3 linked regions of the Mus musculus genome follow. The protein of the gene in region 1 purifies or fractionates together with the protein of each later gene. This does not show direct contact. Links are inferred from orthologs where the notes say so. Each region holds a gene or a part of one and is shown in the gene's direction. Other genes may lie near its edges.

Region 1 (3,561 bases):
GTAACCCTACTGCCTCAGCCTCCCGAATGCTGGGACTATAGGCAAGAACTGCCACATCCATCTTTTCTTTTTTTTTTAAGACATACTTTCTCTATGTAGTGCTGGAACTCACCATGTAGACCAGGCTGGCCTCAGACTCACAGAGATCCACCTGCCTCTGCCTCATGAGTGCTGGGATAAAAGGCGTGCAGCACCACACCTGGCTTATAGCCACCTTAAGACATATGCTATTAGGCACAAATGAGCTGCTAATAATTATGTTAATATATTCTATGTGTATAGAAATGTTTCAGAGTATTTTTACATCAGTTGCCTACTTTGTTTAGCAGTATACATTAGCAAGCTAGCAGCATAATAAACATTTCTTTTAATTTTTGTTTGTTGTCCTTCAGGTGTGTTCAGGGAGGAACTACTGCTATCCCAGGCGCCTTTGGCTGTGGAAAGACTGTGATTTCCCAGTCTCTATCCAAGTACTCCAACAGTGACGTCATCATCTATGTCGGCTGCGGTGAGAGAGGCAACGAGATGTCAGAAGTTCTCCGCGACTTCCCTGAGGTCCGTCTCTAGAGAACTCCAAATAATCGTCTAGAGGAGACGCAGCATGTCAGCATCGCTGACAACAGTTTATGCTCCATGGCAAAGAGTGCTGCATTCAGTTGTCAAGATGCTCTCAAAGAATTTTAAATTAATATTTTTCATTAATCCGTATATTTTTAAAAAGGAAAAATGAATTTTTCAAAGTCAGACACCTAGAATTTTCTCTTCTTTGTTCTCACTTAAGAGAAAAGTAAGATGGATAAAAGAAAAAACATTTATATTTTAACTGGGTATGGTGGCCTGTAATTCCTGTACTTGGGAGGCTGAGCCAGAAGGGTCAGTTCAGGGCTAGCCTGGACCATGTGAGACACTGTCTAAAAAACAAACCCTAAGAAACTGACCGTTTAAATGTGAAGCTTTTCGTGGGCTCTGTGATCTAGGTTACTGTAGTAACATGTCCTTTTTCATGAAATAATGGATTTCCTTTGTCCATTTGAAATGTCCAAATGAGATTGCCTGTTTGTCAGACAGTGCTGTGGGACAGGGCAGGGAGGTTGGCATGATGGGGATAGTCCTAGGGAATTGTGACGAAAGGATTAAACAGAAACAAGTTGTAGTCTTTGTAAGTGGGGGGAAATGTAAAATGTTAGAGTTACACTGAGACTGGAGCTCACGCACTAACGGATTTCCCACCCGTAGCTCACCATGGAGGTTGATGGGAAAGTAGAGTCCATCATGAAGAGGACAGCGCTGGTAGCCAACACCTCCAACATGCCTGTGGCTGCGAGAGAGGCCTCCATCTACACTGGTGAGTCTGGGGCTGGGAGAGAAGAGTTTAACACCAGCACCCAGCTTTTCTTTCCCAAGAACGTCATCTCTAAAAAAACCCTATGCAATCACTTTCCTGGCTTTTAAGAACTATCTGATTTATTATATGTATCATGAGAACAAGTCAACAACATTTTTTAAAAGATTGTATGGGCAAGAGGCTGTGTGGAGTATATTATGTCACATGTCTGTGCCCTTAGAGAACAGAGAGGATGTCAAGTCCTGGAGCTGGAATTACAGGCAGTTATGAGCTATCTATCCAGCTTGGTTCTGTGGACAGAGCTGCAGAAGCTCCTAACCTCTGAGCCATCTCCAGACCCAAACGTAAGATGTGTGTTGAGCTGCCCCAAAGGGTGGTGTTGTCTCTTCACTGCTCCTCTCCCTCACCTCCCCTGTACACCCACCCTGCCTCTGCTGCTGTGGTTGAGCACATTCGAGGTAAGCACTCCTGAGCTGCACCCAAGCTTCCAGCTCGCTCTCTCTCTTTCTCTCTCTCTCTGTCTGTCTGTCTGTCTGTCTGTCTTTCTCTCTCTCTTCTTGGTTTTTTCAAAACAGGGTTTCTCTGTGTAGCCCTGGCTGTCCTGGAACTCACTCTGTAGACCAGGCTGCTCTTGAACTCAGAAATCCGCCTGCCTCTGCCTCCCAAGTGCTGGGATTAAAGGAGTGCGCCACCACGCCCAGCTGCCTCCAGGTCTCTTTTTTTTTTTTTTTTTTTTTTCACATGGGTAAGCATTTTCAGGGCTTTCTTTTTTTTTTTTTTTTTAATTAGGTATTTTCCTCGTTTACATTTTCAATGCTATCCCAAAGGTCCCCCATACCCACCCCCCCCCCCAATCCCCTACCCACCCACTCCCCCTTTTTGGCCCTGGCGTTCCCCTGTACTGGGGCATATAAAGTTTGCAAGTCCAATGGGCCTCTCTTTGCAGTGATGGCCGACTAGGCCATCTTTTGATACATATGCAGCTAAAGACAAGAGCTCCCGGGTACTGGTTAGTTCATATTGTTGTTCCACCTATAGGGTTGCAGTTCCCTTTAGCTCCTTGGGTAATTTCTCTAGCTCCTCCATTAGGGGCCGTGTGACCCATCCAATAGCTGACTGTGATCATCCACTTCTGTGTTTGCTAGGCCCCGGCATAGTCTCACAAGAGAGAGCTATATCTGGGTCCTTTCAGTGAAATCTTGCTAGTGTATGCAATGGTGTCAGCATTTGGAAGCTGATTATGGGATGTATCCCTGCATATGGCAATCACTAGATGGGCCTCCAGGTCTCTTAATGCTCATAAAACAATGTATTTATCTTCTTAATTGTATCATTTACCTGTATTTTAACATTGTACTATATGTAAGTATAGTTATGTGCCTATGACGTACTATTTTTAGGGGCTATAAAAGATAAGAAATGTGCTGTGTTGCACACTTTTCATCTTTGCTCCCTCAGCCTCAGTGCTTAGGACCTTCGTTTTGCCTTTTTTAGGAATTATTAACTCTCTACTTTATTCTAGAAATAGAGAGCCAGTATTATTTAGACTTTGGCCTTCCCTAAATGGAGCCAGTGTTCCCTGTGGCTAGCTTCTTGATTTCTGGTTTTATTCTATGTCCTTTGGAAGTTTCTGCAAGAAAGACTCACAAAATCTTCATTTTCCTTGAACTCTTGCTTTCTTCATAAGTTTCCAAGTTTTTTTTCCCCCTTTGCCTTTAACAGTTGTGTTTCTGAACTAAAATTATTGGTAGTTTTTGTAGCCTGGTAGTTTTTACTAACATGTGTTGACTTTCATAGACTTCATGATTTATGATCTACTGGGGTAATATAGTAATACTTACTTTTTTCATTTTTGAAGCAGAAGGAATGCCTACCCAAACCGCAAGAGTGGTTTGGCTGAGAACAAATTTCTTGGATCAGTGATATTTTCCTGAGAACACTTATTCAAGCAGGCAACATTGGGAGCACAAATCTGAGAATGATTTTCCCCCTTGTAGAAGTAACTTTTCTTGGTCCGGAGAATTTCTCTTTAAATTTAAGTCTCATAGCTTTCTTAGGATATTTGGCATTGTTGATAGCTTAGATACGTCTTTCTCAGACATGAACCGTGTCAGTCTCTGAATTTGTTTTTTATTTTGAAAGACTTGAGAATTTTATCTGCAACCTTTTCTTCCATTAGACATACTAGAGCCCTTCTGATCACCATTTCCTATGCT
Region 2 (4,071 bases), on another chromosome or scaffold:
TCTATGCAATTATCTAAATTTAGGAACTAACATGAGGCCTTGCTTGGTTTCTACAGCACTACATAGTGTCATCATTCATTTGCCTATTTCTTTGGTAATTTAATATATATTCAGTAATTGTTAGCCATGTCATAGTTAGCATGCATGTGTACATCATACCGATTCAGACCTTGACCTTCCAGCTAGGAAATACCTGTTCTTGGACAGTTATGGTAGCCTATGTCTGTAATCCCAGACTGAGGCAAGAGTTGAAACAAACAAATGGACAGGAAATAGTGGTGCATTTCTGTAGTCCCAGCATTCAGGAGGATGATGCAGTAGGACCACTGGCTGCAAGTTCAAGGCCAACCTAGTCTACATTCTGAGTTCCAGGCCAGAAAAGGCTACATATAGCAGGTTTCAAAAAACAAACTACCAAATAAAACCAAAAAAAGGGGGTAGGTAGTTTGGCCTAATCCTAATATTTGGATAAATCTTTTTATAAGATTTATTTATTTCATATATGTGGGTACACTGACACTGTCTTCAGATGGTTGTGAGCCACCATGTGGTTGCTGGGAATTGACCTCAGGACCTCTAGTAGAGCAGTCAGTGCTCTTAACCACCTAGCCATCTTCCAGCCCTGAGACCTATCTTTAAAAAAAAAAAAGCACTGGGTTGACCAGATGAACCTCAAGGTGACTCTCATAGGGTGTATTATGACCTCACAAACTTGTGGCCTGCTCCACTGCCACACTACACCTGCCTCCGAAATCACAAATGTAACAACAAAAAGATGTTTTTTTTTTTTAAGTCAAACAAATCAAGCACACACTGTTCTGTTTTGTGTAATGGCGCAGGCCTATAATACCAGCATTCGGAAAGTAGAAGCAATAGGATCTATCCTCTTCTACACTGCAAGTTCAAGTCCGGCCTGAGATAGGTAACCATCTGTCTCAAAAAAGCCAAAACCAAACTAACGTACACTGAAAAGAAAGAAAAAAAAAGTATGTCCCCTAAAGTCTCGGTCTCTAATAACACTAGGTTCAAAAGGCATTTCTTCCAAGAGAGAAGAAATTAAGGACAGAATGCCAGAGAGAGGCCTGTGACGCTCAGCCTTCTGGGAGACGTAGTTCTGTGGTTTGTGTTTCTGGCCTCTATGGCGCAAGAGTACGCAGATTAAGCGGAGTTCCTGCTAAATGCGCATGCCCGGGAGGCGGGGAACTGCGCATGACTGAAGGGCGGGGTCTCTGCGGGGGCGGGGCATCACAGGTGTTTGGGAAGCGCTCTGCCCGGCGGACAGGATGGCGGGCAGAGGTAAGCTAATCGCGGTGATTGGAGACGAGGACACGGTGACTGGTTTCCTGTTGGGCGGCATAGGGGAGCTAAACAAGAACCGCCACCCTAATTTCCTGGTAGTGGAGAAGGATACCACCATCAATGAGATCGAAGACACTTTCAGGTACGGTAGCCTGTTAGGCCTAAATGGGTCCTTCCGCTTGCTACAAGCACGGGGAGAATTGGTGGCCTGATAACCTGGGTGTCACGTGGTGATGGGGACCGGGATGGTCCCGGAAGTCGTCTGTCCACCCTGAGCAGGGGCCTCCGCCATCTAAGTTCCCTTTTGGGGCTCAGTGGGGTCCGGCCTACCGCAGGTCCACGAACTTTCCCCATCACATGATTGTGTGTCAGTTTAGGAGGGGAGTGGAGCTTATGGTCTGCACCAGCTGTAATTGGACGCCTGGAGCCTCTTGCCAGTGCTGACCGGCTTGTTCAGCCCTCTTCCGGGGTCTCTGTAGCGTATTCTCTGAACCTTAGTCTTTTCGACTAAGAAAACTAACCACCTCCAGCGTAGGTCCGGACAGTGGGCGCGTGTGTGTGTGTGTGTGTGTGTGTGTGTGTGTGTGTATACGCTTCATTTATCTTAGAGGCTTACAATTGTCCTGTAAGGTACTGGTTATTCCCAGTTACTAGTGAGAAAAATAAAGGACAATTGGTTAGGGCACAGGCACATTAGCCATAGGAGGCAGAACCCAGGTCAACTCTTTCTTTTTAATTACGGCGTTTGTGTGTGTCCGTGGGTAGGTGTGCACACATGGAGGTCAGAAGACAACTTGTGGAGTCAGTTTTCTTTCCATGGGCTTTGAGGATTGAACTCAAGTAACAGGGCTTGGATAACAAGCAGCTTTACCTGTGTCTTCTAAGTTACTACCCACTCTGTTTATTCAGCTCCCTGCAGTCTGCCATGGGGCTTCCATTTGTCTTGCGCACAATAAGCAAAACATCTGGGAAGTATGGCCTTCCCCAAAGACTTTGTACTTCAGATCTTCACATCATACCCTGGGTCGTAGTTTTTAAAACTGGGTGCAGGCATTCCTTTTAAGCCAGAAAGTGCACTGTTGACTAGAATTGAGGGTGCCAACTCTCTATTTTTTTTCCTCATTCCTTTTCTAGAATTACTATGCCAAATCTCAGGAATAAACTGCCCTCACCTGTTTCCCCTAAATAGCCCAGTCCAGGGATGCTGGCTGAGACTAGTTCCCACAGCCTGGAGCGTGGCAGGCTCTGACCTGGGAGACTGATCTCTTAGCAAACCAGTAAAGTGACCTCCATTGCCACTGGAGGACAGATCTTACTTCCAAGGATTTACCATGTTTCCAACAGGAAGGGGTCCTAAAATCACCAAGCCAAATCTACTCCATGCTCGACACAAAGTAGGTGCCCAGTGAATGACTTTTAATGAGTAAATACTTAGCTGAATGGGTGTGCATGTCTGTGTGTGGAGGTGATCACATGCGAGGAAGGCCAGAATGACAGTATCTGTCTGGAAATGGTGATTCCTTCATTGCTGAGTTTCCTCTTTCCATCTTGCCTTTGGCTTACAGCAGATGTCCTCCTGGCCCACCCCCTGCCCTAATCAGTATAGATGTGAGGCATCCAGTGGTCTCATTTACCCTATCTCAAAAATTTACTAAAAAGCAAAAGGTATACAGTAAGGAATCACCCTGCCACCCCCACCCTTTCAACCTCTATCAATAAGAAAATTTTGTTTTGTTTTACAAGACAGGGTTTGTGTAGCCCTCCCTGACTGTCCTGGAATTAGCTCTGCAGACCAAGCTGGCCTTGAACTCCACTACCATTTAGTCTTTTTCTTTCTTCTCTTCTCTTCTCTTCTCTTCTCTTCTCTTCTCTTCTCTTCTCTTCCTCCTCCTCCTCTTCTTCCTCTTCCTCCTCCTCCTCCATTTTTTTTTTTGTGGTGGTGGGTGGTGGTTTGTTTTGTTAATAAGGCTCTTGTGTTTCTAGACTTTCATGCAGACACAGAGGGGCTCCTATTTCTCTCTCCTCTGCCTCTCCTCCACAGGGGCAGCTTAAAGAACACACTGACTTGCACCCTGGTCTTCATTACCAGTTCCCTCCACGAGCTGATGTGTGGACTCCAACCCTGAGCTGTGTGGTTCTGAGCTCCTATGTGTAGTTGCTTCATCCAAGAAAAGAGAAGGCTGAAGGCCTTATACCTCCGGCCACTGTCAATTCCTCTTCTTCTCCCCCAACAGGCAATTTCTAAACAGGGATGACATTGGCATCATTCTCATCAACCAGTACATCGCAGAGATGGTTCGGCACGCCCTGGATGCCCACCAGAGGTCCATTCCAGCTGTCCTGGAGATCCCGTCCAAGGAGCATCCCTACGATGCAGCCAAAGACTCCATCCTGCGCAGGGCCAAGGGCATGTTCACCGCTGAAGACCTGCGCTAGGGCTGCTCAGCCCTCAGCCCTCCTCATCACCAGGCCTCTCCTGGTTTGCCATGCTCTATTTAAGTGTCAAGCCTTGGTTTCCAGCCCCTCCCTTCCTCTTCACTGAGTGGCTCGTAAGCTGTTGGGGTTCGGTTGTTCAGGTCTAGGCTGGGTAGAGAAAGAAAGCCCAACTGTTTCTCCACTGCCTCCTCCCTGTGCTGTTAATAGTATCGTTGTTGATATTAAAGGAATTATTCTCTCCAAATGGGTACTGGTATGGATACGTGAAGGTTGCAGCATTGGGGGACATTAGACTTGCAAATATGGAAAAGCAAGGTGAAGAATAATTGGTGGGGG
Region 3 (4,239 bases), on another chromosome or scaffold:
TCTTAGAAAAACAATAACATGCACAGAGTTTTGCAATCCAGTCAGTGGCAGTGGGACTGGGTTCAGTCTGTGATGACTTACTAAGAAGGTGGCATAAGGTCAGTAAGATGGCTCAGTGGCTAAAGGCGCTTGGTGCCAGATGTGACAACATGACTTCAATCCCAGGACCCTCAAGCTGGAAGGAAATAACCATTTACATGTGGCCCTTTGATCTCCGTATGGATGTATCTGTTTGGTGCAGCATGCACACATGCATAAACACATACACCAAAATAAGATAACAGAAATATGACGCAGTGCATGAGGGCTCAGTGGTAGAGCATTTGCCAGGCATACATAAGACATTAAACAAAACTTGTAGCACTGCTTAATAAACAACCTCTCTGGTCCCCATCGCCACCACAAGACTACCAAGAAAGTATTAATATAAAGTAGGGTGGTGTATATCTCTGATATCAACCAGCACTTGGGAAGCAGAGGCAGGTCTATCTCGTTTTTTGGCCAGCCTGGTGAGGTCCAGACCAGCCAAAGTTACATACTGAGATACTGTCTCTAAAACAAAAATATGTATCAGATAATGTACAAGAATTTTTATTAGTTCTGTTATATTGGTGGCATTTTGGCATTAATTGAAAAGATAATACGATTACTTGTTATGTTGATTACACAATTAAGTCTTCAAGGGTGAAGGTATACTGATATTCATATATTTATATAATTTACTATATGATGTAAGCAAATATGGAAAAACACTTAGCGGTCACTCCTAGGTGCGATGGACTGCACGCCTGTACCTTTGGGAACCCACATACTGAAACTATAGGATAGCAGTAGCAAGTCGGGAATGAAGCATTTATGTCATGGAGAGTTCTTCTCTCCATGAAAAAACTCGGCGACAATCTTGCCGGTGGGTACAACTATTACCTCTACTTTACCAGTAGTGGCCAAGCCCATGTCACTATTAAGCGGAGCAACTTGAGTTCCTCGTCTTGACCGACCGACCCCACCAGGGAAGTCTAAATGTAAAACCTCAGTGCTCAGCCTAGCGATTGTAAGCGATCAGTGAGTGCTTGTCTGCGACCACTTCTCGTGGAGCTGGAGGGCTTCGCGCCGAGCTGGGGAAGACTGCGCCGGAGAGGGCTCCAAGCCGAGGGAGGGGTCGCGGCCAGCCTGAGTCACTTACCTCGTCGCGGCATTGCTTTTGGCACATCTGGCAGTACCAGCGAAGCTTCTGGAGCCCTTTGGACTTAATTCTATTGGCGATGGCCTTGGGGCTCAGAAAATCCGACTTGCCCATGGCGACCCTGAGCGCTACAACTACAAAGCGGTCGGAAGCGGAACTGGCTCAGCGCGGGGACAGGCGGGACCGAAATTGACAGCAGGAAATGGGTGGGGCCAGGGAACTCGCGGCTTCGGCGCTCACGAGATTTAGCGAGACCGAGGACGCAGGCGGAGCGGGCCGGGGCGCCTGAGCTCCCGCGCACGCGCACTGAGTCCCGTCTGCCCGACCTTCAAGGCTCCACCATGTTCTCGCGGGCGAGCGTTGTCGGGCTGTCGGCCTGCGCCGTGCAGCCGCAATGGTAGGACCACATCGGGAGGGATGCGGGGGCTCGGGCTTGCTGCGAGGCAGGAGGGATGGAGCTGCATGCTCACTCCTGGCGGAAGAAGGCCCCAGCTCAGGCCGCGGGGATGTCTGCAGAGCTGGAAGGTTGCGTGCCGGACCCCTGGTAGGGGTCAAAGAGAACAAGGTCACGGTCTGATCCCCTGAGACTGGAACGGCCATCCGGGACCTCGGGACCCGGACGGGATTCGGGTTGAGCTTTGGAGCCATCTGGGTTTCGATCAACTCCGTACTTCCGCTCCGTACCCGGGAGCACAGCTTGCAAAGTCTTTAGAAAGGCCCTGAAGGTGAAGGGGCGACCGGGGAACGTTTGGTTGTAACTTTTGGCTTTGAAGCCCTGTGAAACACTGCACGGGGGAGCAGCGTGACCCTTTAAGGTGTGATGGCTTGCTTGAGCTCTTTGGTAAGGCATTCACTGTGTAGCCATCCGACTCTTTGCTGGGTACTGGAGAAACGAAGGAACTCAAAATCAGCCCCCGCCTGAACCTGCTGGTCGCCTTGGTGCTAAAGGGGTTTAAAAAAATCTGCCGATGAGGAAGAGAAAGACATTGCCATTGTCATCATGCCCTCGTGTTGAAGTACAATCTCTGCAAGGTCATAAAACTGTCCCAAGGTCCCTCGGTAGGAGGAGGAGGCCTTAATACAGTTACATTTGTTAGCCTCCATTTGATAAAGGGATACCATAAGGTTGGGCGACTTTAAATACTAATCCTCTGTGCAAAATAAAATAGTTGTATATTAGAATGCCCAGGGAAGGTCAGGTAAAACGTGACTTATGGGTGACGTTGTATAATAACATGAACTACTTTGAAGCTAGACTGCTAGAAGAACTGGTGCTAAGGAGATTGTTAACTGTGGACAGTGTTTTAGTGGTTCCTTGTTTTTATGGTACAGAGGATTATTAAGGCGCTCCAGCACTGAACTAGGGTTTTGTAACCTAGGTTAGAGAACTGCCAAGAACTAGTTGAAATAGTTCTTTCATTAAGCAAAGAATTTGTAGCAATATGCTAAGACTCCAAAGTAGTGAGGCAATTAAATACGATAGATATGAACTATGTATTGGAAGAATGTTGGTGGTGCACACCTTTGATCTCAGCAACTCAGGATGCAGAGGCAGGTGGGTGTCTGAGTTCTGGGCCAGCCTAGTCTGCAAAAGGAGTTCCAGAGAATGTGTGTGTGTGTGTGTGTGTGTGTGTGTGTGTGTGTTCGTTCAGATGTTGTTAGATTAACCTTGGAAGTCAGCTTGAGTTACTTATATGGAGGTCAATAACAGTTGCATTCTCAGTTGTGTCTCCTTCAGCCAGTAGATATTTGTGGAGTGCCTGCCCTGCACCAGTTGGCACTTCTTAGGTGATAAGATGTGAAGGGTCTTTGTTGGCATCCAGTGGTCCTCAGCAAACATCAGCTGTCTCCCGTGTTTGTGTATACAATGTGTGAAAAGACTATTCTTTTGTCAAGTGTAGTGAGGCCACTGTCAGAATTTGATACGCTTCCAATGTTTTCTTGAGAGTTAGCTAGGTATTAGCTGGTTAGGTGTTCACTAGTTAGCTAGTTGGGTGTTTTCCTTAACTCTACACTATGTAGCATCACACACTCCCAGCATTCCTTCCAGACTGCTGATTCGTTCATAGGCATCAAGTCTAACTCCTTCCTCTACCGACTTGAAGTCTTCAAATAACACTGTATGATCAAAGAAGATGCTGATACTTTCTCACAGTCCACTTGCTTCTCCATCAGCATGGTGGGTAGGGCAGGTTTCTGTACCAGCCTCCAGAGGATGAGTCGGGACATGGTGCAGTAGCTTCTCAGAGTGGAGTTCATTAAAGTAAATTAGCCCTAAAGGCTCGAGAGGTTCACTCTTGCCATCCTGAGTCTGGCTCTAGCTCCCTGGACATGCAATTGAAGGAGAGAGCCAACCTCTAAAAGTTGGCCTTTGACTCAGTACTCCATATTTCTATTTCCCCCATAATATTTTTAACATTTGTGAGCAGTCAGGTACCTCATGGCCATTCAGTGATGGAGCTGTGGTGTAGACAGTTGTCTTGAGCTAGAGGAAGGAGAACCATAACTGCTCTTAAAGTATACACTGCACGGAGAGTTAGAGGGCGGGTGTGCAACTCAGAACCGTCTGCATAACGTTCCATGGGAGCCTGTGTCAGTCCAAGCGAAGCTTGTGCCTAAAACCAGGTTTTCTAGCTACATGTGGAGCATTAAGGAAAGGAAAAAATAGAAAAAGAAACAAAGCTCAAATGGTGTTGCCTTTGTTGTGCCATTTCTAGAAGGGATTAATAGAATGGTCTCTGTGTCCAATAGCTGGTATGCTGAAATAGTTTGTCACATATTCCATCTTTGATCTTTTCTATATTTTTACAACCAAACCTAGTATTTTCTATATACTCTATTTCTTCTTATTTTTCTTTCTCTATGCCTATGCAAATCAAAAGTTTGATTTTGGGTTTTTTTTTTTTGTTTGTTTGGTTAGCTTTTAATTTTTTCTGGTGCTAGAGACTCACCTCAGGGTTTGAACATGACAGGCAAAGGCTGTACCCCAGTGTTGCACACCCCAATTTATAAGCCAAGAGACGGGACTTTTAAAACAACTGTTTTTGGTTTTAAGC

What was found. The genes of interacting proteins can lie anywhere in the genome.
Region 2: the proteins of Atp6v1a (region 1) and Atp6v1f fractionate together in Homo sapiens (co-fractionation; 3 studies listed by BioGRID and IntAct, with this or other methods). This does not show direct contact. The link is inferred for Mus musculus from reciprocal best matches to the Homo sapiens genes ATP6V1A and ATP6V1F.
Region 3: the proteins of Atp6v1a (region 1) and Atp5c1 fractionate together in Homo sapiens (co-fractionation; 3 studies listed by BioGRID). This does not show direct contact. The link is inferred for Mus musculus from reciprocal best matches to the Homo sapiens genes ATP6V1A and ATP5F1C.

The regions. Positions count from the first base shown.
Region 1 is NC_000082.6:44,104,719-44,108,279, reverse strand, and holds part of Atp6v1a (V-type proton ATPase catalytic subunit A), read left to right. Parts: intron 1-392; coding exon 393-555; intron 556-1,236; coding exon 1,237-1,345; intron 1,346-3,561. UniProt on the Homo sapiens protein: Catalytic subunit of the V1 complex of vacuolar(H+)-ATPase (V-ATPase), a multisubunit enzyme composed of a peripheral complex (V1) that hydrolyzes ATP and a membrane integral complex (V0) that translocates protons.
Region 2 is NC_000072.6:29,466,534-29,470,604, forward strand, and holds Atp6v1f (V-type proton ATPase subunit F), read left to right. Parts: upstream 1-1,249; 5' UTR 1,250-1,283; coding exon 1,284-1,441; intron 1,442-3,533; coding exon 3,534-3,735; 3' UTR 3,736-3,976; downstream 3,977-4,071. UniProt on the Homo sapiens protein: Subunit of the V1 complex of vacuolar(H+)-ATPase (V-ATPase), a multisubunit enzyme composed of a peripheral complex (V1) that hydrolyzes ATP and a membrane integral complex (V0) that translocates protons.
Region 3 is NC_000068.7:10,077,689-10,081,927, reverse strand, and holds the start of Atp5c1 (ATP synthase subunit gamma, mitochondrial), read left to right. Parts: upstream 1-1,417; 5' UTR 1,418-1,524; coding exon 1,525-1,580; exon of another isoform or gene 1,581-2,215; intron 2,216-4,239. Other genes in the region: Kin (DNA/RNA-binding protein KIN17), read right to left, coding at 1,184-1,297.